Linked DNA regions of Elephas maximus indicus. The protein of the gene in region 3 binds, or shares a complex with, the protein of the main gene of each other region. Links are inferred from orthologs where the notes say so. Each region holds a gene or a part of one and is shown on either strand. Other genes may lie near its edges. The genes, in order: SF3B2, CRIPT, SNRPE and PRPF4.

Region 1 (7,179 bases), on a different chromosome or scaffold from region 3:
ACACCACTCTGCTTCCTGTGGTCCTCAATCGGCCTACAGCCTAACCCCACACACCTGTCTAACACAACTCTGCTTCCTGTGGTCCTCATCCGGCCTACAGCCTAACCCCACACACCTGTCTGACACAACTCTGCTTCCTGTGGTCCTCATCCGGCCTACAGCCTAACCCCGCACACCTGTCTGACACCACTCTGCTTCCTGTGGTCCTCAATCGGCCTACAGCCTAACCCCACACACCTGTCTAACACAACTCTGCTTCCTGTGGTCCTCATCCGGCCTACAGCCTAACCCCACACACCTGTCTGACACCACTCTGCCTCCTGTGGTCCTCAATCGGCCTACAGCCTAACCCCACACACCTGTCTGACACCACTCTGCTTCCTGTGGTCCTTATCCAGCCTACAGCCTAACCCCACACACCTGTCTGACACCACTCTGCCTCCTGTGGTCCTCAATCGGCCTACAGCCTAACCCCACACACCTGTCTGACACCACTCTGCTTCCTGTGGTCCTTATCCAGCCTACAGCCTAACCCCACACACCTGTCTGACACCACTCTGCCTCCTGTGGTCCTCATCCGGCCTACAGCCTTACCCCACACACCTGTCTGACACCACTCTGCTTCCTGTGGTCCTTATCCGGCCTACAGCCTAACCCCACACACCTGTCTGACACCACTCTGCTTCCTGTGGTCCTCATCCGGCCTACAGCCTAACCCCACACACCTGTCTGACACCACTCTGCTTCCTGTGGTCCTCATCCGGCCTACAGCCTAACCCCATTCCTCTGTCTAACACAACTCTGCTTCCTGTGGTCCTCATCCGGCCTACAGCCTAGGTTCTAAGCATTGATCCAGACCTTCCCAGAAGCCTCAGCCCTACGATCCAGCTCCCTCTAGAGCTCCACTCCCCTTTCAGGGGCCTGATTCGGCCTAGCCGCAGGCTCTCCCCTGCCCTACCTGCTTGGCACGTTCCTCCTGCTGCATCAGCAATGCTGCCTGCTGCTGTGCCAGCTTCAGCCGTTCCTCCTCAGACAGCGCCACAGGCTCACCCACACGGAGGGGAGGAGGGGGCCCCAAGTTTGGTGGGTGGGGTCCGCCTGCCATAGGAAAGCCAAGGCCAAGGCCTGGTGGAGGTGGTGGGGGTGGTGGAGGAGGTTGTAGAGGGGGGAGTCCCATGGGTGGCGGTGGCATGGGAATCCCGGAGAGCTGCGAAGAAAGTATGAGTGTAAACTAGGAAGCACTTATCTATTTATCCTACAGATATTTGCTGGGTGCTGGGATTCAAAGTCAAATAACATATTATTCTTTCTTTTTTCCCTCCTTAACACACAAGGAAGGAACCCTGGTGGCACAATGCTTAAAGTGCTCGGCTGCTAACCCACCAACTATTCCATAGGAAAAAAATATGGCAGTCTACATCTGTAAAGATTATAGCTCAGGAAACCCAACAGGGCAGTTTTATTCTGTTCTATAGGGTCGCTATAAGTTGGAGCCCACTTGACAGCAGTGAGTTTGGTTTGGTTTTGGGTTAACACACAATGAGCCCTGGTGGTGCAACAGTTAAGCACGTGGCTGCTAATGCAAAGGTTGGTGATTCAAACGCCCCAGTGGCTCTGCAAGAGAAAGACCTGGCAATCTGTTCCCGTAAGGATTACAGGCTGAAAACCCTACAGGACAGTTCTACTCTGTCACATGGGGTCAGTAAGAGTCAAAAACTGACTTGAAGGCATCTAACGACAGCAACTTTAACACGTGATTCTTGAATACAGGAAGAGGACGGCCCAGATATTAACCAAGAAAAGAAAATGTTAACTTTGGAGCATCGACAGAGAAAAACTATCAACTCTCTCTCCAAAAAAACGAATTTTGCATACAATTTCAGGAGCTTCAGGAACACGTCTGAAAGCCATCTAGGGACTCATCACCCCATCCATTGAGGTCAATGGAGCCCAGGTTGGCCACTGCTGGATCAGAAGGCACATGGAAATTGAGAGGTGAGTCTTGAATGTCAAATAGAATTTGGAGGAGCAAATGTTGGAGAAGGAGGCAGGTATCAGGACCAAGAGAGAACTGAAGGGCTCCCACTTCTGTCCACGGAGTACCTCCCTGCCCACCCTGCTAACTGCATTCCCAGTGCACTGCACATGAGAAGATGTGCCTATCCTGGGTAGAAGAGACCTTATAAAGTAGAACAACTTCCTCACCTGTGCTGACATGGGAGGGGGAGCAGCTTTGTCCCCATCATCTCTTCTGAGAACCGGCCGATTCAGCACCATGCCAGTCTGCAAAAAAAGAACGAACAACTCTAGACCAGGTCAAGAAGCACTGATCCAATAAACGACGTTCCCTCTCATTCATTCAACAAAGCTTACCCAGTGCCCGTCTGCAGGAGCTTGGAGCTCGGGCACTGGGGAGGGCCACTATGCATAAAGCTATGACAACAGAACAGGTAAAGTCAAGAACAAGCAAGAGCATGCAAAAAAGTGCAAGACCTTGCTGTGCCGGGAGCACTAAGAATGAAGACCGAGCCGTGATGTCTTGAAGGCTGCCTTGAGAAGCCTGGTCTATCCTGACGTCCCTCCGCTGGCACTTACCTGGCGGGTGTAGGTCTGCAGCCGCTCCACCAGCTCCTCGCGACTCCCTGCGTGGCAAACACAGAGTCAGTGATCAATGCTGGGTCGGAGTGGGCTAGGTCCGGCCGACCCGGCCAGGGCGGGCCCTATTAGCCCGCCTCCGCCCCCTGCCCCCGAGTCTCCGAGGTAACAAGGCTCCGCTTCTCTGCAGGCCCATGTAGTCCCCTCTTGACCTTCCGCGCTCCTCACCCTGGATCGGCGCTCCAATCTCTGCCAACTTAGCCTGAAGCTCCTGGGCAGCCCAGGCACCATAGTGCCCTGGGGGTGGCGGCGGCGGCAGCTGTAGCTCCCCTTTGGGAGGCTCGGGATGCTCGGTCGCCATCTTAGCCGCAGGAAGGCGCGCGACCAACCCGGATGCCAGGGCCAGCTCCGGGCCCACTTCCCGGAACTTCCGGGGACGACGTCCAGCAGCCCGCCCGCGGATTGGAGGGCTGTTCGGCTAGAGGGCCACCCCGGACCAACGGCCGGGAAACGTGATTCGCCAACAGACGCGCCCTTTATCCAGTGGTCCGCAGATGGCCTGGTCGCGAAGCCTTCTGGGAGTTGTAGTACGCAGCTGACGGTCACTGCGGGTCCAGCGCCAGGAATACAGTGCCCATTACAGCTCCGGGAAACCCTACGGGCGGACGTTGCTGCGGCCAAAGCTGTCTAGTTGGAAGGACGCTTTCTGCGTCTCGCCTGCCCGAGCGCGGACTATCAGCCTTCCGGCCCGACTCCCTGAATAGGCGTGAGAGCCGGGACGCTCGTGTTTCCAGGGACGCCCGAGAGGCCCTTTCCCCCGGTGGCCGAACGTTGCGGGCGCCAAGCGGGAGGCTGGAGCCGATGCCTGTGATAAAACAGTGTCTGATTGTCTGCCCGCCCGCCCCCGGCCCAGACATGGATGAATGGGCTGTAAGGGGATCGGAGCCGGGAGAGGAGCGGGCCCGCCCGGGCTGAGCTCCAACTCCCGACCTGGGGGAAGGGCAACACTAAAGCCCCATTTCCACCTTCCGGGCCGGCTCAAGTGTCTCCTCCGTTAAGCCTTCTCCCGCTTTCCTATTCTTGGAGCTCTCATAACACGTTCAAACCTCTACTGTTTGTTTTTTGCCCTTCTCTCCACACTCACCTCCATCCCCAAGAACGTGAGCAGGTACCTGGTCATTTTGCTGTCTGGCATGCGGCATCTGGGATCCAAGAAGCACTCAATAAAGATGAGTGCAAAAGAGTAAATGAAGCAATCTTAATGGTGGCAAGATTTACATCTTCCTTAGTCTAAACTGGAAACCCTGGTGGCTTAGTGGTTAAGTGCTACAGCTGCTAACCAAAAAAGGTTGGTAGTTCAAATCCACCAGGCGCTCCTTGGAAGCTCTATGGGGCAGTTCTACTCTGTCCTATAGAGTCGCTATGAGTTGGAATCAACTCGAGGGCAGCGGCTTTGGTTTTGGTTGTAGTCCAAACTCAGGACCTCTGCTTCTCTGAGCCCCTCCAGCCCAGTGGCAGGCGACCCCGTTCTCCTCCACCCCCCCCCCACCCCACCCAACCCCCAGGGCCTGCCAGGGGCATGGACAGGTGCTTTTACCTGTCTGGCTACCGCGCGTCTCCCTCCTCCCATCAATCTCTCCTTCCCACATCTGCCACTAGTTCTGAGGTCCCTCTCCCATCCTGACTGCCAGGCTCACTGCGTGCGTGTGTGTGTGTGTGTGTGTGTGTGTGTTTAGTTGGGGGGCACTCAGGTAAAATGGTCTTATTTACTACCCCCACCTAGGGGCGGATTATCCAATAGGCAAGGTAAGCACACATTTTTTCATCACATCAAAGACTCTGCTTCTAGGTATGGCTGGCATCTGTCGCTCTCCCAATCCCACAGCACCTTCCTACAAAATCAAAGCCTCTTTTCAAAGTTACAATCCTTGACAACCAGATGACCTAGTAAACAAGGTAAGCACAGGCTTACTTGTGCTTACTAATCTGTAGTGAACAATTTCACATGGGTTTCACATCTTTGAAACTTCAAATGATCTGGTAATCTGCCTGTTGGATAACCCACCCCTGTCCCCACCACACACACACTGCCTTCAGATCTTCTCTCTGTCTGGCTCCATTTCACCAACTGCCCCCAACAGCAAAGTAGCTGGGAACAGAGAAAGAATGCGGCCCCAGGTCTAGGGGAGGTGAGGTCTAGGAAAAATAGGGAATAGGACTGAGCCAGGAAGTTCCTTTCACTCCTGCCCAAACCCCTTCCATCATGACCACCATCCCAGTTGCCAGCTGCCACTCCCAGAAAGACAGCATAGAAGAAAGAACAGTGGTGCCCTCCCCTCCAGCTCGTCAGCCCACTCAGGCAGAACCACTTTGGACCCAAAGGAAGACTCTTTCTGCTTCTGAAACCTGAGAGCCCCAGCAGGTCATCTGAGGCTGGAGGCCCTCAGGTGCCCCAACCTGCTGGGGGAGGGGTCACTGTCTGAGCAGTCTAGGGTAAAGACTGACTGGTGAGGAGGCAATGTAGCCAGGGCCAGAAAGGGACACACCAAGCAGGGCCTCATTTCAGCACAACAGCCCTGGGAGGCAGGCGGGGTAGGACTACCCGCTCCCTCCCCCTGGCTCCATTGTGCAAAAGGGAAGCTTGATGGGCAGAGAGAAGCTGACAGGCCCAAAGGGCTGAACTGCGACCACAAGCAGCTCTCCTGATGCTGAAAGTCCCCATTCCCTTCTGCTCCTCAACACCCACCAATTACCTGAGTTGGCTTGGAATGGGGGTATCCAGCCCAATTAGTCCCAGCTTTGATTGGCTGCCCCAGCACCCCTGCCACGCCAGCCCACAGGAAAGGAGAAAGCAGGGGTCCCTCCCAGAACAGAATGAAGGGCTCTTGACAACTGGCCTGGTTTGGGGGAGGTACTGCTGCCCAACTCCCAGGTGGCAGGAGCTAAGAACTAAGAATCCAGTTGCCATTGAGTCAATTCCCAGTCATGGTGACCTCATGTATGTCAGAGTAGAACTGTGCTCCATTGAGTTCTCGATGACTGATTTTTCTTAAGTAGAAGAACACGACTTTCTTCCCAGGCACCTCCGGGAGGACTCAAACCTCCAACCTTCTGATTAAGAGCTGAGTGCTAACCATTTGCACTGCCCAGGGACTCCAAGGACTAAGGAGGCAGTGGAAAATTCAGGACTACCCCCCTACACACACTGGGGTGTACACAGAGCCTTCGCCTGTATTATCTCTACAGCCCCAGAAAAGCTCCAGGAAACAGGGCCGTTGTTCCCATTTTAGAGCTGGAGCTGGAAGCCATGGGCTCAGGGCATTGCCTCTTAACTCGGAGATTCAGTGACAAACCAGGATGGAATTCGGTCCTCTGATTCCTGATGCACAGTACCCAGTCGGGGGTCCAGGTCCCACTAAAGCTTTGGTAAGGAGTCCTGGTGGGGAGTAGGAGTGGGTGAGGGACGGGGGCAGGACCCGGGGAGTGTGGACCGCAGGTTGGAAGGAAGGAGTCTCTGGGTGTGAGGGCAGATGGATCCAGACCAGGGGTTGGAGCTGCGCTTCTTGCGCAGGTGGAAAGGAGAAGGAGAGGGAGAGGGAGCACGTGGGTGCCCGTAAACGCATCTCTCTGTGCGTCTAACTCCACGAGGGGGGCCCGGCTACACTGGAGTATTCAGACACCTTCCTGGCCTCAGTTTTCCCTTCAGTTCAGCTAGGGAAGAGGGCTGGCCGCGTTGGTGTCCAGCCCCTGCGAGGCTGCCGGGTGAAGATGCCCACACCCCAAGACGCTCCGGGGAGAGAGTTCCCCTGCAACGCCGGTAGCGCCGCCAGCTCCGCCAGGCCGCCCCCTCCCCTTCGAGCCCCTCCCCCTCTCCTGCTCCCGGCCCCCGCCCCGCCTCCGGTGTGCGATGGGGGGCGGGCGGCGGGCAAAGCAGAGCCGAGTGGAGCCGAGCGGCCGCCGCCACCTGATCCCATCGAGGCGCCGCGCGGCGAGCGGTCGGCATTTGGCGCGCAGGGCCCCGGCCACCTAGGACTCGCGCAGAGCTCAGGACCAGAGGCGGGTGGGTAGCGGTGACCACGCCGCAGCAGCCCGGCTGGAGGCAGAGCCCGCGCGGCGTGAGTACTGCAGTGGTTGCCCGGGGCTAGGGGACGACGGTGGGCGGAGTGTCTGGGGGCCTAGAGCCTGGGCGCTGGAGGAGGGGCGCGCTGCCCTGTGGGGAACGGGAGAGGACGGGGCAGAGGGCGACGCTGGCCTGTGCCTCAGGGTGACCTGCGCCTGGTGACCGGAGCCCTGGGAGAGGTTGGGAGGAAATCGAGGGAATGGTGGGGGTGGGTAGTGATGGAGAGAGAAGGATGTAGGAAATTGGGAGACAGGGATGTGGAGGTGGATGACAGGGAGAGGGGGCTGGGGACCTGGCGCAGGCTAGGAGAAGAAAAGGAGGAGAGGGAGATGGAAGGATATCTGATCTCCCGGGGTCATTAATTTGCAACCCTCTACGTCCTTTAGCCCCTTCCTCCCTAGTGCCCAGGTCAGTTTCCCCACTCACCCGTCTGTGCCATCCCTCAAGTCAGGATGGGGTCCCCA
Region 2 (6,831 bases), on a different chromosome or scaffold from region 3:
CTTGGAAGTATTAAACTACCAGATAACAACCAAGTAAAGCTTCCCAGTATTGTTTAGAAAAAGCTGTTCGGCTGGTGCTCAGGTAAGAGAGAAGTGAGGGCTGCCAGCATGGACTCAACACTCATCTGCATAGAGGTACTCCTTGAAGCCCAACACTTCCAAAGAAAAAGCGAAAAAAAAAAAAAAGTAGAGAAAAGAAGATCAAAGATGGACCACTGGGGAACATCTACTTTAAGAGAGGAAGGAGAAATAAGAAAACTTAAAGAGCAGAATGCTAAAGAAGCGTAGAAAGAAGTAAAGCAGGACTGAAAAAAAGGTCATTGACCTTGGTGACCAGATCACTGGCAAACTTTTGAAAATCCTTTCAGAAATGTGGTAAGATGAAAGTAAGTTTGCAAGGTGCTCAAAGGCAACTGTGAAAATCTGGAGGCAATGAATGTAGCCAAGTCTCTGAAAATTTTACAGAGAATGGAAAGAGAGAGCTAAGGTGGATACTTGAGAGTGCAGCTTTATGTATGGGAGAGATCTGAGCTTATTTATAGAGTAGAATGAGTGGATGTATTGGGAGATAAGAAAAATACAATAGAGAGAGTATATTTTCATTTAAGGAACAAGATGGTCTAGGTGGTAGGAAGGTATTTGACCAAAGATATAATAAAGGGCTAGACTTACAGAACAGCAGAGAAGAAAAAAGGGAACAAGCTTTTATGATACACATCATGTCCCAGAATCAAATATGTATATTTTAGTACCACATCTGATCTTGGATTCCCAAAATTACTGTGTACCTTGAGAAATTAACTCTCACAGTTTCCCCAGTATTTTCAATTTTCCTGGGACAAAGCACTTAAAGTACTAAGGGGTATTATGCATAACAAACAAAACCAGACAGAACTCCTGTCCTCTCAAAAGTTAAACTACACAAAATTAACCCAAGTTACATGGAAGGCCAAACTTACACATTTAAGAAGTGCACAATGGAACAGAAAAGATGTCAGGGCAGGTGCATAACTGGAAAATAATTAAGTCACATTCACTCAAAAAACCAGCCAAACAAACTCTGCTGTGTGCAGGAAGGAAAACAGTTAAAGTATGTCAACGTGAAAAGTTTAATGTGCTTTTTGAGGCGATGAAAATGGTCTAAAATGCATCGTGGTGAGGGCTGCACAATCCTGTGAATATACTAAAAACCACTGAATTGTACGCTTTAAGCGGGGGAATTGTATGCTATGTGGATTGTATCTCAATGAAGTTATAATTAAAAAAAGCTTAATGAGAGAAAAGAGCCAGACATGTTTAACCAGAAGATATGAGACTTGGGGATATGACAGCTGTTTTTAAGCTAAATATAAACAGCTTGAAGATCAAAAAAAGGTCCCTACGCGGCACAAGGAAACCCTGGTGGCATAGTGGTTAAGAGCTACGGCTGCTAACCAAGAGGTGAGCAGTTCAAATCCGCCAGGCGCTCCTTGGAAACTCTATGGGCAGTTCTACTCTGTCCTATAGGGTCGCTATGAGTCGGAATCGACTCGACGGTAGTGGGTAGGGGGCACAAACGGTTTGCTCTCAGAGGCTAACCTAAACGTTGGCAGTTTGAACCCATCCAGTGGTACCTCAGAAGAATAGACTTGATGATCTGCTTCCATTAAGATACAGCCAAGACAACACTATGAAGTAACACCATGAGTCTCAATCGAATGGACAGCAACTAACAACAAGATTAAAAAGCCATGAGGTGTTTTCTACAAATTTCAAGGGTCTGCATTAGAATCAATGGGTGGCAACTACAGGCAGGTAGGCTTTTCTAAAAGCCAACGATGTCTACGTAAACGGCTCTGGAGGTGGTGAGATTCTCCCATCCCTGTCTGCCCCAATACTGTAGATATTCATGAAAAGAATATATAAACCATTGGATGGGAGGGTGACTTAGGGTTGACAGAAAAATGTTGTTAGGTCCCCTGGAGTCTGTTCCAACTCATAGCGACCCCACATATAACAGAATAAAACATTGCCCAGTCCTGTGCCATCCTCACAATAGTAGGTATGTTTGAGCCCACCGTTGTAGTCACTGTGTCAATCCATTTTGTTGAGGGTCTTCCTCTTTTTTCAATGACCTCTACTTTACCAAGCATGATGTCCTTCTCCAGGGATTGGCCCCTCCTGGTAAAATGTCCGAAGTAACTGAGATGAAGTCTCTCCACCCTCACCTGCCTAGTTAAACTGGAATTTCAGATAAACAATGAATAATAGTTTTAGTAAAGTATGTCCTAAAGATAGCAAGGGACAACAAACATGGCCAAGACCCAAGTGACACACTCATACTAAAAAAATAATCCGTGGTTTATCTGAAATTTACATTTAACTGAACATCCTGTGTTTTTATTTGCTACCTCTGGCAACAAGATACTATAGATGTGATTTTTAAGATCCATTCCAAACCCGAGTGTCTATGAGGTGAAGGAATCAGTCAAGAAGCTATGTGGGATGAGATCGGGGCTGGAGGAAGCAGTTCTACTGTCCTATAGGGTCGCTATGAACCGGAATCGACTCGATGGCAGCAGTGATTTTTGGTAGAATATGGTCACTTGGAGCCCTGGTGGCGCAGCGGTTAAGAGCTCGGCTGGTAACCAAAAGGTCGGCATTTTGAATGCACCAGGCGCTCCTTGGAAACCCCAGGGGACAGTTCTACTTTGTCCTACAGGGTCGCTATGAGTCGGAATCGACTCGACGGCATTGGGTTTGGCTTGGTAGCTGGAGAGGGGGGTGAATGGTCAAAGGGCAGGGTAGCAGAACAGAGACTAGAATGAAGAGACCTGTGAGAAGAAGAAAAAGAAAGGCAACGGTCCCGGGAAGTCCACCTAGGTTCGCTAGCCTCCTTCTCCCGCAGAACCGGCCCCTTAACTCACATTTTTCGCACACCATCCTTCAGAAGACGACGGTTCCCTTAACAACAATAGCAGCAGCAGCTCGCAAACATCAACACTACAACCCGAAAAGGATTTTCCTTCCGGGTACGTCGATCTACTTCCGGCCTCTCAACCCCGAGCTCCGGCCTATCCTACACCTGGAAAGCCGCGGGAGGAATAAACGCGAGCCGGTGGGCGGGGCTTCTCCATATGCCCGCCTCCTCTCCTTTGCGATTGGCTGTTGGGGCTCGGGTTCCGCCCCCACGACCTTGCGCCTGCGCGAGGGTCAGGGCAGCGAGTCGCACCTGATGGTGGGTGGCGGCAGCCTCCCCTTCCCATCCGCGGGCGGGAGAGTTAGGTAAGCCCAGCTGGAGCCCCCGGCTCGCTCGTCCCCCGGAGGTGCGAGCAGCCCCCAGCAACGGCCGCAGTGGGCGCGAGTCTCTGTGCCCCACCGTCCGCTCGAGCGCCACCATTCCGGCGTGACCCCAGGGGCTTCCCTGATGGACCGACTGTGGTTCGGATCCGACTTTTGCCTCTGTACCTGTTTTCTCTGGTGTCCACCGCCTGTGCTCTTTGCCACCTGTAATCCCGCCGGGTGAAGCTTGGGCAGAGCCCTGATCGACCAGTTTGGGGTGGGGCTGCAGATGGACGTCCCGCGATTCCCAGGAAGGCTTCTCTGGGAGCAGCTCAGAGGAGCCTTCTCACCGGCTGTAATACCCGTCGATCTGAGCCAGGTGAAACCGACGGCGCCAGGGCGGTGGCCTTCCCATGGGGCTCCTGTTAGGTGTCTTCCCGGGCACGCCAGGGCCTAACAGTGCTTGTTTCTCAGGAAGGGCCCCTGCGTTTGTTTGTGGGCAACCTCTACCTACTCGTTCGGGCATTCATTCAACAAACATGGAGTATGGGTACTGCTCGTTATCTTAGATCCAAATCCATTGATATCAGGTGGCATTCTGAGAATGGCCGAGATGAATGGTGCCCGAAGGGGTATCTGTTGTTGAATATTGCCCTTCTTTCCCAGTTTGTTGAGGCTAGAACCCGTGAGAAACCTGTTTTGTCTCATCTTCCCCTTCGATCTCTTCCCGATGCCTGGTGTGATATAAAGAGGCCAGGCTTTGGAGTGGCTTTAGCACTTGGGAGCTTAGGACCTTGGATGTGTCTCTTAACATATCTTAATTTGTTTCCTTATCAGTAAAATATTTGCCTTTGACAATCATTCTCTCACGTGCTCTTTCACGGTCGCTCAGTATGTATGTATATGTGTATGTGCCAAAAGTACATTTTTTTCCTCCTTCCATTAATGTTTTACTTTTGATTGGAATATAGCACCTGTGACATCATCCTTTGGAAACCCTGGTGGTGTAGTGGTTAAGCGCTATGGCTGCTAACCAAAGGTTCAGCAGTTGGAATCCACCAGGCACTCCTTGGAAACTATGGGGCAGTTCTACTCTGTCCTATAGGGTCCCTATGAGTCAGAATTGACTCAGCGGCACTGGGTTTGGTTTTTGGTTTGGGTTAACATCATTCTTTCAACAGCCATCTAAGAGGCATTATCATTTTGGTATCTCTGGAGAAATGGGATCCGTTAGGAGTGAGTCCCTGAGTCATGGGGCTCCTCAGAAGATCTGCTTGAAAACTATCACAACCTCGAAAACCACATGGAGCACAGTTCTACTCTGCAACACATGGGGTCGCCATGAGTTGAAATGGACTGGATGGCAACTGCTTTGGTTTTTGGAGTCCCTTAGCATAACACTCTTTGAACTCCCTTGATTACTTTGGCACCATCATTTGAATATTTGAGTGTGCACTTAGTATCACTTGGTATTTGCGTAACCCGTTGGCGTTGAGTCGATTCCGACTCATGATGACCCTGTAGGACAGAGTGGAACTGCCTGCCCCAGAGAGTTTCCAAGGGGCGGCTAGTAGATGCAAACTGTTGACCTTTTGGTTAGCAGCCAAGCTCTTAACCACTGTGCCATCAGGGCTTCTGTGTATTTGCCAGAAGATGTAAATACTGTGATGCTGGACTAAGGATCCAGAGTGGTAGAAGACAACAACAACAACTTGGCCAAAGTGTATTCATGGGGTTTCTAGACAGCATATGTTATATTTCCAACCAAATGATTTTATCTGTGCAGTTTTGATCTCCATGATTTTGGCCAAAAAAAGTAAAATGAATTGCTTAATTGGTCCTAGCACATGTCCCTTTTGCAGAAACCAGTTACAAATATTTGAGAAACTAGTAAATTTGTCCTTTTTAGGCTCTGAGAGCTGTTTGGGTGGAAGAATCAGTACCACAGTAAGAGGGTCTAAGGTAAAATGTTAAATTTACCTGTGCGTTAACACATATGCATCTTTCTATTTTTTGCAAAAAAACATTATTGCCTAGAAATTGACTTTAATTCATGGCTGATTATGAGGGGTTGGAACGTTTGAGACAACGGAAGAACTTGTTATTGAATATGCTCTTACTTCGTTAATTTGTTTTTCACTAGATAGCCACTGAAGAAAACACCATGAAAGATACTGACATCAGGAGACTATTGTATGCCCATCTCCTGTGCATATTTTCAGTTATCCTAAGCACCTTCATTCCATCACTCTTCTTGGAGGACTTCTCAGTATTGGAAACCCACTTGACATGGCTGTGCATCTGTTCTGTTTCTGTAACTGCCGTCAATCTAGTATTCTATTTGGTAGTGAAGCCAAATCCACCCTCTAGAAGAAGCTCATTATCACACAAGGTAAGGCTCATTCCTTCATAATTGGTTTTTGAATGGGGCTAGTGGGTTGTTTTTTTTTTTAATGGAAGAATAAAGTATTAGTTCAGTTTTCACTAACCTGGTGTTTCTTTTTCAAATCAGTGGCCAATTGCTTGCTAGAAGTTTGTCCACAATGTTTGATAGATAGTATTTATGAAGTTAGGGCAGTTTATTTTCATTTATTTTTGCATTTCTGAAAGACACTTAATGGAGTTCTCAGGAATTATAAAAGAGCCTCCATGGTGGCTCTGTTGTTTTGAACACAGCCTTCCTTGACTAAACAGTGGTGAAGTTTTCAGGTGTTAGAATTTATTTTCTTTAGTATTAATTACTTTACTGCAGTGTGACATGTTGACAATTTAATAAAGTCCTCACTTAACATTATTCAATACTATGTGTAAGCTCTGTGTTAGGTAATTTAAGGTACTTGTATTGCTTTATGAGTCTAAAAGGTCAATGTGTGTGTTTTACAATTATATCTTCTTTATTTAAGCTCCAGATAAGCGGGTCTCATACTGATTTGCAGATAGGCAGGTCTTTTTGCATGTGGGTCATACAGTAACATGAATGTGATTTGGGGGATTATTTAGTAATTTGCTTTTTTGGTGCAAAATTTCCTAGGAAGTTTTTTTTTTTTTTAAATAAAATAAGTTATTGTAGTTGATATTTATTTTGCAGCTATTTCATGTATCGTCTCTGCAGCTCTTTGGTAATAAGGACTGTGTTTTGTGCTTTCTTGGATCCCTGCATTCTGTTATCAAAAAATATTGATTAAATACAAAGCTCAATATATGCCATAGAAACAGAACCCCTTTTTCACTCTAGTGTTTGTTGGGTTCGGGACACAGGAGAGTGGTACTCGCCTTTTAGCCCTTCCTACAAAGCTGTATTGCAGCTGTGTGCTTGACTTCACACAGGACGTGTGATTTGACTCTTTGGTCCTCAGATCCAAGGGGCATTCAGGTGTTTCACACATTACGGTAATGATTTGTGTCTGTAGATAAAATGGAAGGATTTGTTGTCTTCTGGGTGTTCTGATGAGCCTTTAAATTATTCCTTTCTTTTTTAGGTAGGCAGATTTTTGAAGTGCTGCATCTACTTTCTTATGTCCTGTTTCTGCTTTCATGTAATATTTGTTCTATATGGAGCGCCGCTAATAG
Region 3 (7,493 bases):
GTGGGAGAGGATGATTTCGAAAGAGTACACTACTCCCCCAAACAATAACTTCTCAAATGCAAACTAAATTTAAGAATGAACTGAGCTGCAGGTCACTAATTTTGCAACTGAATAAACCTTTCTAGGATTCTGTAAGGCCATCTATATTCTTACCCAGTTGTTTTCTTGACTTTGTTTTAGAATGAATCTCTTCTGCATCATCTAACACAAGGTTCATATACTCATCAAAACCCTAGAAAATAAGCCACAGGACCATCATCGAGTTAGATCACATTCAAACCATTCAAAAATGAGTGTATCTATCTAGATACAGAATGCCAATGAACTTCAGAAATTCGTCCCTCTACTGATCTTTCATCTAAAGTAAGGCATATGTAAGCACCACCTTCACCCTAAGTCTCTTTTTAAGTAACAAAGAAAGCCAGAAGGTATTCTAAATTACTACTCAAACCTCTTGGACTTAGGATTTCATTAGCTATGCCAAGGAGCCACTCTTGCTCTCTTTCACAACCTGCCTGATAGAGTATGTGTGTATGTCTATGATTATCTTCTGCCAATGCTCTCCCCCTGTGTCCCCACAATATGCTATTACCACTAACCACATTTGTTTCCCGACCGGTAAATCGGGCAGGGGAGATTACCGATGAAATCTAAGATGTCTAAACGGAATTGCCATGTCTAAATGGAATACCAGAGTGCTCTGACGTAATACTTTCAGCCATGCTTCCATTAATCTCCCCTTCTAAATTTATGTTTTATTTTTTCTGAGGAAGCCCTGGTGGGGCACCAGTTAAGCGCTCAGCTGCCAACCAAAAGGTTGGGAGTTTAAACCCACCAGCCACTCTGCAGAAGAAAGATATGACAATCCACTTCTGTAAGGATTACAGCCTTGGAAAACCTATGGGGCAGATCTACTCTGTCCTTTAGGGTTGCTATGAGTTGGAATCAACTCGATGGCAACTGGTTTATCTCTTTTGTCCCCTTCCGCAATGCCAATATTGTTGTTTAAGTAATCCTAAAAGCTTAATTTTCCTGTTCTTTTTTGAATTACCCAACCCCTAACAACTAGAACAATGACAAGGCTAACCAGGGGGCCCTGAAAAACTTTCCTTGGGTTGAATCTTCAATTTTCCATATATTGCTCTGCCTAGCCACTTTCCGTTAAGTCTTTTTCTGGGAACAAACTGCTCTGAGATAAAATATCCTGGGTACTCACTATGATACAGCCCTCTATCCGCATATTCACTTGCTCATACAGCCACACCTGAATCCGGGATCTCTGAAATAATCATAAAAAAAGAAATGTTAGAATAAGTAAATACAATCTAATCACTTTGGTTAAACAACAGAGATGAACTATGGCTCCTAAAAAACTATCCGAAAAATATAAGTCAAGAATTTTAACCAGCAAGTCTATACCTAAGAGTCAAGATAGGTTACTTGCCAAGAAACCTTTTCATTTATTAAATGTTATACTGTGATTGTCTGGGCTAACAAATTGGCTGTGATCTCAGGACTCAATCATATTTCTCATTACTTATAATCCCAATCCACTGAGATTAAAAATTGGTGACAGTATAGCACAAAGCAGTAAATTCCGACGATCAAGATTAAGGGCATATGTTGTATCTGATAAAGCAAAATCCAGCTCCAAAGCAAGGCTTCTTCTAGCTTCTCAGCCCTCCGTGTCACACACATAACCACCAGAGGAGGATCACCAATTCCGGTGTTTACAATTTACGGGGCTTGAAATTACTCTGTTTTTCAACTGTGTTACTTATCACACACTAAAACTTGTCAGAGCAACAGAAACATTTTCTTTCAGAGATAATTTTAACATCTGACCTGTCAACTGAAAGTATTGCTAAAAATCCCCCCAAAGGAAAGCAGGCTGAATCTACTTCTTCACTCCACATTTTTAAACGTCTTTTCTATATGTAAGTTTTCCCATAGGCATTAAGCACACATCTCACGACATGGTTTAAGTTAACTGGGTATTTCTTTTAAGCCATGTTTGACCTTCTGGCAACCCTAAGTGGAGGAGATCAGAACGTTCCCATATTCTGGTCATAATCACTACAACAAAAGCACCAAATACTATCAACACGTCTGCCAACGAACAAACCCTGAAACTCATAATTTTGGTTTTGGAAAGAAATGACACAATTCTTTGCACGCTTGGAGTTGACAGCTGTAAATAACTACTTTCTTATATTAAGGCTTCTCTGTACCCTTTCCTGTCAATTATCCCTCCAGCCCCTCCTCTGATTTCATTTATTTTTAACATAGAACACAGCGACCCAGTAGACTGACACATACAGCTTAGAAAACCCAACTTTTACTTAAAAAATCATTATGAAACAAGTAACTTACGTACATTTTGCAAATATCTGAAGATAAGGTTCTGCATCACAGTAGTTAAGGAACTGGTCGATCTCAACCATCGCACTTTTTTTTTTTTTTTTGGTTTGTTTTCTGAACGTGAGGTCTGCTGCCTACACAAGTAACAGTGCCCAACAAATGGCACTCAACCGAAGTCTCCTAAAAACCCGGAAGGAATCCCCCCCACTCCCTTATCCGTCAGGAGTTTCCATCGCCCCGACAACCTCCCTCAAACCGGTAATTCTGCGTTCACTCAGTACCCAGCGATGTCGTCCCTCCGCTCAGCCTCGACATCCTACATCTCCCACCCCCGGGGTCGGCCTATCCTCACCTCCCACCCAGCACCAGTCCAACTACCCGCGCTTTCTCCCGGTCTCGATCACCCCGGAGGCTCATGGGATGTAACCCGCACTCCTCGCCTTCAGGCCGGGTCTCTGCCCGCTCCTTCGTCCTCCGTTTCCTAGCCCGAATCTCCTAGTCCTGACATCTCAAGCAGGATACGATGGGCTGCACCATCACCTTCTGCACTTTCTGGCCCTGGCCACGGTAAGCCATGGTGGAAGCTCACAAAGACCACACTAAGCCGCACGCCGACGCAGAAAGCGACTTCCGGAATTAGGAACCGGAAACGGAAATGTATTGAGGCCGCGCAGCGACCTGACGGCTACTGGGTGGTGCCTCTCTAGCCGCAGAGTGGCTTTCTCTGTGATCTGTAGCATCCCGGGGAGGCCGAACTGAGGGCGCTGCACTCGGTAGGATCGGAACCTGATCCGATCCTACAGCGCCACCTGGAGGGAGACGGGAGAAAGCCCCGAGGGACTTCGGTCGTGCGGTGGAAGCGGGGGAAAGCGGTAGAAACACAGGCACCAGGTCGTTTCCGTTTTCTGATTTCCGCTTTTAGAGCCGTAGTCGTCCTATTGCGTGTCTCTGTCTGTAAAATGGGTTAAATTAGTCCTTTTCCTGAGGCCTAGCTTCCTGGAATTTAGGCTCGACGGCAGCGTTGTGGGGCGAGCGCGGGGAGAGCGGCAGGAAGCCCGAGCAAACAGCCCCAGTCTGTGGTTTGCCCTAGTGACGGATTCAACTCCTCTCGTCAGCTCCGTGGGGGAGTTTTGTGAGGTGGCAACAACGTGGTGATTTAGCGTGAAGGCTCTGAAATCCGATGCTGGGCTCAAATCCAGCTCACTTAATAGTTACGTGACCGAAATGTGCAAAATGGAGATAAAATTAATAGTACCTTCCTTACGGGTTTGTGGTGAGAATTCAGTGGTGTAATACAGTGCGCACACACACACACGTTCAGGCTGGAGTCAGTGTTAGATGTGACACACCGTTTCGCTGGTAACGACCTAGTGAGTGGGGGAGCTGAAATGCGCAAGTATGCCACACCCCAAAGCTCATCCAGTGTTTCCGTTATGTCGTGGTGGCTTGTGGCCTGGCAGAAATTTCATTCAATTGGAACACTCATTTTTTAAATGAGGAAACTGAAGCTCAGAGTTGAAGGGACTTGCCTAAGGGACATTAACGGAAAGTGGCAGAATCAGAACTTACCTAACTGAGGTCTTTTGTTGAATGAGGATAAAACCAATTTCTACCTCTTCAAAAGTGTTGAATCAGGGGACATAGAAGTGATTTTTTAACTATAAAGAGCTAGAAAGGTCATGGGACAGTTATTTCTCTTAACCTCATTCCTACCCCATGCTCTGAACGGAGTTAATTGGACAAAGATTTGGGTAAAGATTTGCTGAATTCAAAGACAGCCGGGATAGAACACAAAACCCCCCAAAACCAAACCCATTGCCGTCAAGTCAATCCCTACTTGTAGGGACCCTATATGGATAGAACACAAGAGTAGTAGTATTAACACCTACCTATTCAGTAGTAGTGTAATACCTGTCTCAAATGCACAGATGCTTAGCTACTTGTTTTAGCATTTTCCTGTTACTGGACTTTTGGGTGTTGATCCCTATAACCACTCATGTAACTGGATTATGTAACTCATTAAGAGTGTTGTGTTGTTTCCTTTTTCTTTTTTTGTAATTGTCTTTTTTACATTTAAGTCTTTGCTGCTCCACCTGAATTTATCCTAGTATCCTTGTATATCCTAGAGGTGATACAACTTTATATTTTCCTAACAGCTATCAGTTTTCCATCACCGTTACAAAAAAAAAAAAACCTCATCTTTCCCCCTATTATTTTAAAATGCCACATTTATAATATATCAAGTGTGTGTGTTTGTGTGTGTGTATCTGGGACTTCTACTTTGTTCAATTGATCCTTGTGTCTATGGAACCAATATCATAGTTGTAAGTATTGTAGCTTTATAAATATGTTTTCTTCTATAGAACTAGAAATAGGTAGCATTTTCCAAGCTATTCTTGTTTAGTTACTTTCATATACTCTTCAGAATCAGTTTTCAAAACCCTTTGGGGATTTTTTTTTTTTTTTTGAGATTTCATTAAACTTTAGAATAACTAAATTTTTTTTAATTCAAGTACACGATGTCTTTTCATTTGTCCAAGTATTCCTTTGAATCCTACAGAAGTTTTTTGTTTTCTTCATATAAAACTTGTCCAATTCTTAAATTTAATCCTAGACTCTTCATCTCTCTTATTTAAAAATTGAGTCTTTTCCTCAATTGTATGCTCTAACCATTTGTTAAAAGACAAATCAACTACATAAAAATTATAAAGTTTTACAAGACTAAAAAGGCATGATGATAAGCAAAGTCAGAAGAATTGGGGAAAATATGTTATTTGCAACAAATCAGACAAATGGCTAATTTCGCTAACACATAAAGAGCTCCTGAAAATAAAATCTAAAATGTTAAATGCTGTTTTGGCTCTCTAGTGCTGTGTATGAAAATTTTCCAAAACTTATTGACTTAAAACAGCAACCATTTTATTATAATTTATGATTTTGCGAGTCAGGAATTTAGGCCGAGCTCAGTTGGGTAATTCTTCAGGAGACATATCTAAGGCCTTGGTGGGTATCTTTGGAAGGCTGGCATTGGCTGGGTCCCTTTCCCTCTCTATGTAGTCTTGGGGCCTCTCCACATGGTCTCTCTGGCAGGGTAGTATGATTTCTTAATCAGTTCATTAACAAAATAAAATGGTCTTCAAACTTATGAACAGATACCCAACTTCAGTTATTATAAGAGAAATGCAGACTAAACTACAGTGAAATATCATTTTTTCCCCATTAGATGGCAAAGTTAAAAAAAAGTGGTATGAACTCAGCAATTCCAATTTCAAAGAACTGAAAGCAGGGACTCAAACTGATACTTACACACCAGTGTTCACTGCAGCATCATTCACAGTAGCCAAAAGGTGGAAACAACCTGAAAGTCCATCAGTGGATAAATAAATGTGATACATACAGTGGAAATTATTCAGTCATAAAGAGAAATGAAGTTCTGATACATGCTACAGCATGGATGAACCTTGAAAGCATTGTGCTGAGTGAAATGTCAGGCACAAAAGAATATTGTATGATTCCACTTCTATGAACTATCTAGATGTGATGGTTAAGACTGAGTGTCACCTTGGCTGGGCCATGATTCTCAGTGTTTTTGGCAGTCGTATTATGTTGTGATCACTTTCCTGTTGAGATTTGGTATGTGATCACCCCCATGATGGGATCTGCTGCTGTAAGTAGCCAATCAGTTGAAAGGGAGTTTCCTTGGGTGTGTGGCCTGCATTAAATATAAGCGGACATTCTGGTAAGACTTGAGGGCTTTTCATTTGTGCTGGATCCTGCAGCTCCTGTTTGTCTGACTTCTGGCTCTCGGGACTTGAGCTAGTAGCTTACCTGCGGTCTTGCCTGCTAATCTTGCGACTCATTGATCTTCGCAGCCTGTGAGCAATAGCCCTGTTCTCTGACCTGCCTATCTTGGGTTTGCCAGCCCCTGCAGCTACATGAATCAGGAGAAGCCTCTATCCTGACACACGGAATTGGGACACTCCAGTCTCTACTACCATGTGAGCCATCTCCTTGGTATAATCTCTTTATATATGTGTGTGTGTGTGTATATATATATATACATACATACATACATATATATATATAGGCTTTACTGGTTTTGCTTTTGTAGAGAACCCATCCTAAGACACTAGAAGAGGCAAATACGTAGAAGTAAATTTATATTAGTGGCTACCAAGGGCTGGAGAGAGGGGGTGGTGGGGTGTTGTTACTTAAGGATGAGAAACCATTTATATTCTCCTGAAACACAGATTTCTGGATCCGTGGAGTTGGGGTGACTGACCCAGGCCATTTGCAGTTAGGTGTCCTTTTGAACCTTTAGCCTTGAAGAAACTGGTTCCTAAGTGTCACATTTGAGTCAAACAATGGTCTAAAAAAAAAAACCTCTAAATAAGCTAATAAGGCCATTTTGCCTTGGGCATTGTGCTCTTTTGAAGAATTAAGTCAGTTTCAGAAAACAGACTCCAAAGGACAGACTGGGTGCTATGTTTAGGGTAAATTGGTAATTATTTTAATTTTTCTTTAAGACAATGCTGTATGACCATCTTTTCAGACCATGAATTTGATTATCAGTTCTGTTCCAACCTTTTTTCCATGGCAAGGTTTGGTGTGATAGTTAAGGTTGTGTGCTAACTTGGCTGGGCCATGAGTCTCAGTGATTTGGCAGTTATGTAATGATGTAGTCATCCTCCATGATGCGATCTGATGCGATCAGCCAATCAGTTGTGAGGGGCATTTCCTCGGGGGTGTGGCCTGCATCCAGTATATATGTGAACCTTCTGACAAAGCTCACTTGCTTGCTCTGGATCCTGCATCTGGCTCATCAACATCTGACCTTTGGTTTTTGGTATTTGAGCCAGCAACCAACTATACTGCCTGCTGATCTCAGGATTCATTGGCCTCCACAGCCTGTGAGCCAACAGCCTGTCATCTTACCTGCTGATCTTGGATTCATCAGCCTCTGCACTCTGTGAGCCAGTGACCTTACGTCTGACCTGCCGATCTTGAGTTCATCAGCCCCCGTAGCTACACGAGTCAAGAGAAGCCTCCAGACTGATCCCTGACCCGCAGACTTGGGTCTTGCCAGCCTCTACAAATGTGTGAGCTATTTCCTTGAGATAAATCTCTGTCTT
Region 4 (7,797 bases), on a different chromosome or scaffold from region 3:
CCTGTACTTTGCCAAGCATGATGTCCTTCTCCAGAGACTGATCCCTCCTGACAACACGTCCAAAGTATGTAAGACGCAGTCTCATCATCCTTGCTTCTAAGGAGCATTCTGGTTGTACTTCTTCCAAGACAGATTTGTTCGTTCTTCTGGCAGTCCATGGTATATTCAATATTCTTCAACAACACCACAATTCAAAGGCGTCAACTCTTCTTTGGTCTTCCTTATTCGTTGTCCAGCTTTCATATGCATATGATGCAATTGAAAATACCATGGCTTGGGTCAGGAGCACCTTAGTTTTCAAGGTGATATCTTTGTTCTTCAACACTTTAAAGAGGTCCTTTGCAGCAGATTTACCCAGTGCAATGCGTCTTTTGATTTCTTGACTGCTGCTTCCATGGCTGTTGATTGTGGATCCAAGTAAAATGAAATCTTTGACAACTTCAATCTTTTCTCCGTTTATCGTGATGTTGCTCACTAGTCCAGTTGTGAGGATTTTTGTTTTCTGTATGTTGAGGTGCAATCCATACTGAAGGCTGTGGTCTTTGATCTTCATTAGTAAGTGCTTCAAGTCCTCTTCACTTTCAGCAAGAAAGTTTGTCATCTGCATAACGCAGGCTGTTAATGAGTCCTCTAATCCTGATGCTCTGTTCTTCTTCATATAGTCCAGCTTCTCATATTATTTGCTCAGCATACAGATTGAATAGGTATGGTTAAAGAATACAACCCTGACGCACACCTTTCCTGACTTTAAACCAATCAGTATCCCCTTGTTCTGTCCGAACAACTGCCTCTTGATCTATGGAAAGGTTCCTCCTTATGCACAATTAACTGTTCTGGAATTCCTGTTCTTCACAACGTTACCCATAATTTGTTATGATCCACACAGTCGAATGCCTTTGCATGGTCAATAAAACACAGGTAAACATCCTTCCGGTATTCTCTGCTTTCAGCCAGGATCCATCTGACATCAGCAATGATATCCCTGGTTCCACGTCCTCTTCTGAAACCAGCCTGAATTTCTGGCAGTTCCCTGTCGATATACTGCTGCAGCCGTTTTTTGAGTGATCTTCAGCAAAATTTTGTGTGTGATATTAATGATAAAAAAAAAAAAATTTTTTTTTATTAATGATACTATCCTATAATTTTCACATTCGGTTGGATCACCTTTCTTGGGAATAGGCATAAATATGGATCTCTTCCAGTCAGTTGGCCAGGAAGCTGTCTTCCATATTTCTTGGCATAGATGAGTGAGCACCTCCAGTGCTGCATCTGTTTGTTGAAACATCTCAATTGATATTCCTTCAATTCCTGGAGCCTTGTTTTTCGCCAATGCCTTCAGAGTAGCTTGGACTTCTTCCTTCAGTACCATCGGTTCCTGATCATATGCTACCTCTTGAAATGGTTGAACATTGACTAATTCTTTTTGGTATAACGACTCTGTGTATTCCTTCCATCTTTTTTTGATGCTTCCTGTGTCGTTTAATATTTTCCCCATGGAATTCTTAACTATTGCAACTCGAGGCTTGAATTTTTTCTTCAGTTCTTTCAGCTTGAGAAACGCTGAGCATGTTCTCCCCTTTTGGTTTTTCATCTCCAGCTCTTTGCACATGTCATTATAATACTTTACTTTGTCTTCTCGAGAGGCCCTTTGAAATCTTCTGTTCAGTTCTTTTACTTCATCAATTCTTCCTTTTGCTTTAGCTGCTCGATGCTCAAGAGCAAGTATCAGAGTCTCCTCTGACATCCACCTTGGTCTTTTCTTTCTTACTTTAAGGTGTTAAAAAGCGAAGATGTTACTTTGAGAACTAAGGTGCACGTGACTCAAGCCATCGTATTTTCAACCTCCTTATATGCATGCAAAAGGTGGACTATGAATAAGGAAGACCAAAGAAAAATGGGTGCCTTTGAATTATGGTGTTGGTGAAGAATATTGGACTGCCAGAACAATGAACAAATCTGTCTTGGAAGAAGTACAGCCAGAAAGCTCCTTAGAAGTGAGGATGGTGAAACTTCACCTCACGTACTTTGGACATGCTATCATGAGGGGCCAGTCCCTGGAGAAGGACATCATGCTTGGTAAAGTAGAGGGTCAGCCAGAGAGTAAGACCCTCAATAAGATGGACTGCCACAGTGGTTGCAACAATGGGCTCAAGCATAGCAACGATTGTGAGGATGGCAGAGGAGCAGGCAGCGTTTCGTTTTGCTGTACAAAGGGTCGCTACGAGTCGGACACGACTCGACGGCACCGAACAAGAAGTGGGAGAGTGGACATGCCATTAAGTTTAATCCACTAGACATGAGAATTGTCAGAGATTTCTGATCACTCCAGAACACTGAAGTTTGCTACATTTCATGAAAACTCCCTCTAACTCACCAGTTCACAGGATTATCCTCAGAGTCTGAATGGATAAGTCATTTATTCAGTGAACGCTTCTTGTGTTTCAGCTACAGAGTTAAAGGACACAGTCTGTGGGGAAACAGTCAAGGAAACAGAAAATTACGACACAGAATAACAAGAACTCTGATGAGGCTAATACAATGGCATCACAGAGGCACCTAAACCCAGTTGAACGTGGGGTGGGCAGGAATGTCAGGAGGGCTTCCTAGTGAAGAGGACGTCTTAGTTCAGTTCTGAAGGACAAGCAGAGAAAGGGGACTAAAGGCATTCCAGGCAGATAGGAGTTTGCAGAGGCTTAAGAGAGTACTACACAGTCTAAGAACCCAAGGTAATACTTGTGTTAACAAAAAGAACAAGTATTTTTTGAGAAGAAAACAAAACTCCCACAACTGAGTTTAACATCTGTTGATGGCATTATCTTTACATTCTCCACAGCATCCAGTAGAATGTATTTTTATCAAGTAGTCAGTAAATACTTGTTGAATAAAATGAGAGATCTAATAGAGAACGTGAGATGAACTTTTTTTGAGTACTGTTCTAAGATTTTCCTCTCCTTTCTTTACATTCTTAGTTTAATCTTCACAGAAACCCTGTGAAGCTGACAAAATTATCCCCATTTTTCAGATAAAGAAGTTGAAGCAAGCTGTTCAATTTTGGCTAATAATGTGGGCCTCCTATAATCACACATACATCACAGGATGAGGATTAAATGAGAATAGTGTAAAAGAATGCCCTTTATAAGTATGTGCAGACATAAATTTTTATTTGTAGCTAGGGACTGTGAAGTATGCAAATAAAGGTATGTTTCCTCTTCCCATGAAGCTTGGGACTGATATTACCAACATAAAACTCTGGCACATTACATTTCAAACTGCTTTGCACTAAATCAGATAGACTCTTCTACCAGATTCCAATGTAAACAAGTGGTAGAAGAAGCCAAATTTCCAAAGAAAGCATGAGGCGGAAGGAAGGGTAAATACTTAAGAGAAAAAAGTGCTATAAGTTTTCTTAGCTTTTCTGCAGACTGAAAAGCTGGACACTAGGAAGTTGTGTAGAGGAATGGTTTAAAAGTGCTGGGGCTCCCACTCTGCCACTGACGGTGAACAATTAGTATCAGCTCTCACTAGACCTTAGTTTCCTTCCCTGTATCTGTACTCTGTGGTAACGACTGAATGACATAAGGCAGATCAACCTCCTGGCACATAATTTGGCATTTAGGAAACGCCAACGCTAGAGGGCAAAAGGAAAGGTTGGCGGTTGGCGTATGCCTAGAGCTGCCTCAGAAGAAAGGCCTGGTGATCTACTTCCGAAAAATCAGCCACTGAAAACCCTATGGAGCGCAGCTCTACTGTAACACACTTGGGGTCACCACATGTCAGTATGTTTCCACAGCAACTGGTTTTTGGTTTCATTATTATCGTAATTTTCCTCAGTAGAGGGGCGCCTCCATCCAGCTCCGCTAACACCAGTATTCTGAGGCTCCCTCATTCACCCTGTGAGTGCAAAAACCTTGTTTTGTATAATCTCTGATGCCCCAGCACGCAGCAGGGCACAGGGCTGTGCCGAGAGTTGCCTGTGTATACCTTACCTGTCCCCTTCATATCCATCACCTCACTCTGAATCTGAAAGAAAGACCGGTGGAGAGCTAACAACCAAATCAGGCCATGGCTCCTCCGCCCAGTATTTTATTTTGGCGCTAACGGGCTCTTCGAGCTTAATCTCCAGCCGCTGCCCAAATCCTCCAGAAATTCACAACTCAGAGGGAGTCCTTAGGAGGGCTTCCGGACAGCAGGCAACAACCCTCCTCCAGAGCCAGGGAAGCACTCAGGGGTTCAGGGCGATGGTTTCCACGGCAACAAGGTCCCCCGCTCCAGGACAACATAAAGTCTCCCGTAGGCCCAGGAGGGACTGCAGGCCCCGGAAGTCATCAATTAGCTCCAAGGTTCAGCCCGGAGTCGCGCCACTGCATACACATACCTCCTTTCAAGCCTGCTCAGCTCAGCCCCTTCCCGGAACCTTAGCGCCCATCACCAATCTACCGCTAAAACGAGTGGACTACACTTCCCAGACTTCTCTGAGACTCTCTCTGCAGACTCTTGTCTCCCGCGTGGTTTACTCGGAAGCTGCACAGGTCACGCCTCCAGACGTGACGAGAATCTACCCTACTACGATTCCCATCAAGCTCCGCGCTACCCCAGTCGCTGCGCCGGTTCTAGGCCCAGTTCCGGTCGATGACGTAGTTCCGCTTTGCTGGGCGCGCGGTGGACGGTCTGAACGTACCGCTCGGTTTTCGCTGGAGTTTGCGGCTCCAGAGCCCGGCATGGCCGCCTCACGACCTCCTTCCACGGTACAGAACTCGGAATCTCTGCTTACTGTGGCAGGGAGCGCCGAGTGATTACTGCAGGATGGGGCCGCTAGGAAATGGATAAGGCGGTGGAGGGAGGAGGAGGGAGAGAGACTGCGGTACTCATTGTTCCATTATGGAGCCGAGCAGCGCTATCCTGGTACCTGAGCGTTTTCATACGCTTTGGTCTCTTTCGTCTCTCTCGCTACAGCCCTGGAACGGTAAACACTTCCTCCGACTGGTCCCAAAGCGGAGACCTGAAGGAGGGAAATGTCTTGGTCAAGATTCACGTCTATGTCAGTTGTAATGAGGCCTCCTAACCCCGTATCTGTTGTCGTTTGAAATGTATAGACCAGGAATTTACGTTAGCACCTGGTTAGCTATTTCATTCAAATAACCAGCCTTTCATTCAAAAGATTTCAACCAAATCCTTGCTGTTTCCCTCGTGATAAGCAATAATCTTAGAAGGTTCATAAAACCCAAGAAGAGATTGCACTTCCAACCGACATGAAGTAAACAGATTCCAAAGTAAAACGTTGATAGAAAAATCACCAAGAGAAATTCATTAGTTTTATCGACCTTCTGCTACCTGTCTGCAAAACTTAAGTGATGGAGGGATGGAAACACCCTTCAAATCAGGGAAGAACATCTTAACTGGTGTCCAACTTGCCCTTTCATTCGGGGAGGAAATAGGATTGAAGCTCAGGATGAGCTTTGGGGACGCCTAGTAGATTGCTAAGATTAAGCCTTAAATTAATTCAGTTCTTTGGTTTAGCAGGGAACCAAAACCTCTAAGGCACCTGATGACTTAGTTGCTCCTGTTGTGAAGAAACCCCACATCTATTATGGAAGTTTGGAAGAGAAGGAGAGGGAACGTCTGGCCAAAGGAGAGTCTGGAATTTTGGGGAAAGAAGGACTTAAAGCAGGAATCGAAGCTGGAAATATTAACATAACCTCTGGTGAGATGCAATTTGAGTCTCTCTTTACGTTTGATGCTCAAATTTTCTATAGTGAATACCTTCCTAGATAATTATCACTAGTTTTGTGGTCTCTAAAGTTTTCAATTCTTAAACTTGCACCTGTAAGGCCATACTTTGCCTACCACCCTTAGCATCATTTGGAGAGCCTGTTTCTTAGGATCTTTTATACAGTTTTTTGTTCCGTGGATTGTTAGGAATTTACTCAGATGTTTAGGTATTTGGGCTCAGATTGATTGTGTTTGTCTTCTAGAGAGCTAGGATAGTTGTGGCATTGGTTTGGAGCTATTGTGGTTCATAACGTTCTCCCTTTTTTTAGTTTTCCAATTATTTTTCAGCCAGAGTGAAACCTGTGTTTTTTAAGTATAAAAGTAATAGCTGTTTTTATTTTTGTTAAATCAAAAATGTAGAGATGTACGAAGTAGAAAATCCCGTGATCCTTATTAATTAGGTGTGTATCCATCCAGAGGCTACTCAAAAAAGGCCTGGCAATCTGCTTCCAAAAAATCAGCCATTGAAAACCCTGTGGAGTGTAATCCTATTCCTACATACATGGGGTCACCATGATTCTGAATCGACTCTATGGCAACTGGGTATCTTTCTGAGAATTTTAATATAGCTATAAAAATACATATTTTTTTTCCATAAATGAAACCATGATGTACAAATTGTTTTGTAACCTGTGTTTTCACTCTGTATGCTGCTGCGGGTATTGTTCCATGTCAGTACCGAGGAGTTTGCTGTATTTTTTAAAATAAAAGTATGCACGGTTGTCATAAGAAATTTAAATGGTACAGAAGAATATAAAATGAAGACTCCTCTGCAGAAAGTTTCTTGTCAAGCCTCCCATTAACCTTTTATGCTGTTTTCAAACACAATTGCATCACTATTGTACCTCTTATTTTTCATCAAAATGCTCATATTTGGTTTGGGTTTTAAAACTTGTTGTTAGGTTGTAAAAAGCCTTATAATCATGGAAAGCTCATCTTCATAGTAATTAGTTTCAGTTAACTAGTTGTATTTCTATGCTATACTGGGACTGTTAGAGAGTAACTTTGGCAATTACTAAAATAGTGTTTCTATTTTATCTTTTGGATAGAAGGGCTTTGGTAAAGATGTTTTATACTCCTTTTTTTTTTTTTTCTTGTCATTCACATTTTGTTATTTTTTTAGATATACCAGCATGTATTTTTTTTTTTAATTGTGCTTTAGGTGCAAGTTTACAGTTCAAGTAAATTTCTCATTCAGAAATTTATAGACATACTGTTTTGTGACATTGGTTGCAATCCCCACCATGTGACAGCACACTCCCCCTTTCCACTCTGGGTTCCGTATGTTCATTCATCCAGTTCCTGTCCCTTCCTGCCTTCTCGTCATGCTCTTGAACAAGAGTTGCCCTTTTGGTCTCACGGGTGTTATTTTGTTTTATAGCCTGTCTAATTTTTGTTTGAAAAGTGGGTTGCAGGAATGTTTTCAGTTCTGGGTTAGCAGAGTGTTCAGGGGCCATAGTTTCGGGGATTTGTATCCTTACCCTCTGATCCCATCTAAGTTATGTGTTTTTATTAGGTGTAAGGTTGCCAAAATGACTTGAACCACTTTCCTGCCTTTTAAAGCTGTGTCATTTAGTTTTACGTATTTGACGTAATTTAGTAAACTGAAAAATGGTAAACTATCTATAAAACGTGTACTAGACTGGACAGTTGCCTTTCCCTAGTGGCATACGTAGACGACAGTTGTTAGAAATTATCTCTTTCTATTTGAAGATCTGGTGATTATACTGAAGTTGCCCGTTCTTTTTATAGGAGAAGTGTTTGAAATTGAAGAACACATCAGTGAGCGACAGGCAGAAGTATTGGCTGAGTTTGAGAGAAGAAAGCGAGCCCGGCAAATCAATGTTTCCACAGATGACTCAGAGGTCAAGGCTTGCCTTAGAGCCTTGGGAGAACCCATCACACTTTTTGGAGAGGGCCCTGCTGAAAGAAGAGAGAGGTGCCCTTCCTAATTCCTAAATATTTACTCTTCTTTTTTTTTTAATCACAAGGTTCTAGTTCCAAATTTGTCAGTCTTCGTAGCTGAAA

Evidence for each region.
Region 1: SNRPE (region 3) and SF3B2 share a complex: the UniProt entries of both Homo sapiens proteins name them as parts of the minor spliceosome. The link is inferred for Elephas maximus indicus from reciprocal best matches to the Homo sapiens genes SNRPE and SF3B2.
Region 2: SNRPE (region 3) and CRIPT share a complex: the UniProt entries of both Homo sapiens proteins name them as parts of the minor spliceosome. The link is inferred for Elephas maximus indicus from reciprocal best matches to the Homo sapiens genes SNRPE and CRIPT.
Region 4: SNRPE (region 3) and PRPF4 share a complex: the UniProt entries of both Homo sapiens proteins name them as parts of the U4/U6-U5 tri-snRNP complex. The link is inferred for Elephas maximus indicus from reciprocal best matches to the Homo sapiens genes SNRPE and PRPF4.

What each region holds. Positions count from the first base shown.
Region 1 is NC_064825.1:129,193,536-129,200,714, reverse strand, and holds the start of SF3B2 (splicing factor 3B subunit 2), read right to left. Parts: upstream 3,005-7,179; 5' UTR 2,957-3,004; coding exon 2,824-2,956; intron 2,643-2,823; coding exon 2,596-2,642; intron 2,284-2,595; coding exon 2,206-2,283; intron 1,208-2,205; coding exon 959-1,207; intron 1-958. UniProt on the Homo sapiens protein: Component of the 17S U2 SnRNP complex of the spliceosome, a large ribonucleoprotein complex that removes introns from transcribed pre-mRNAs.
Region 2 is NC_064844.1:15,567,533-15,574,363, forward strand, and holds the start of CRIPT (cysteine-rich PDZ-binding protein), read right to left. Parts: upstream 3,014-6,831; 5' UTR 2,923-3,013; coding exon 2,907-2,922; intron 1-2,906. Other genes in the region: PIGF (phosphatidylinositol-glycan biosynthesis class F protein), read left to right, coding at 3,551-3,640, 5,405-5,653, 6,741-6,831. UniProt on the Homo sapiens protein: As a component of the minor spliceosome, involved in the splicing of U12-type introns in pre-mRNAs. Involved in the cytoskeletal anchoring of DLG4 in excitatory synapses.
Region 3 is NC_064836.1:13,038,316-13,045,808, reverse strand, and holds the start of SNRPE (small nuclear ribonucleoprotein E), read right to left. Parts: upstream 3,001-7,493; 5' UTR 2,938-3,000; coding exon 2,884-2,937; intron 2,405-2,883; coding exon 2,378-2,404; intron 1,280-2,377; coding exon 1,217-1,279; intron 233-1,216; coding exon 154-232; intron 1-153. UniProt on the Homo sapiens protein: Plays a role in pre-mRNA splicing as a core component of the spliceosomal U1, U2, U4 and U5 small nuclear ribonucleoproteins (snRNPs), the building blocks of the spliceosome.
Region 4 is NC_064827.1:62,533,630-62,541,426, forward strand, and holds the start of PRPF4 (U4/U6 small nuclear ribonucleoprotein Prp4), read left to right. Parts: upstream 1-4,776; 5' UTR 4,777-4,819; coding exon 4,820-4,963; intron 4,964-5,517; coding exon 5,518-5,701; intron 5,702-7,521; coding exon 7,522-7,708; intron 7,709-7,797. UniProt on the Homo sapiens protein: Plays a role in pre-mRNA splicing as component of the U4/U6-U5 tri-snRNP complex that is involved in spliceosome assembly, and as component of the precatalytic spliceosome (spliceosome B complex).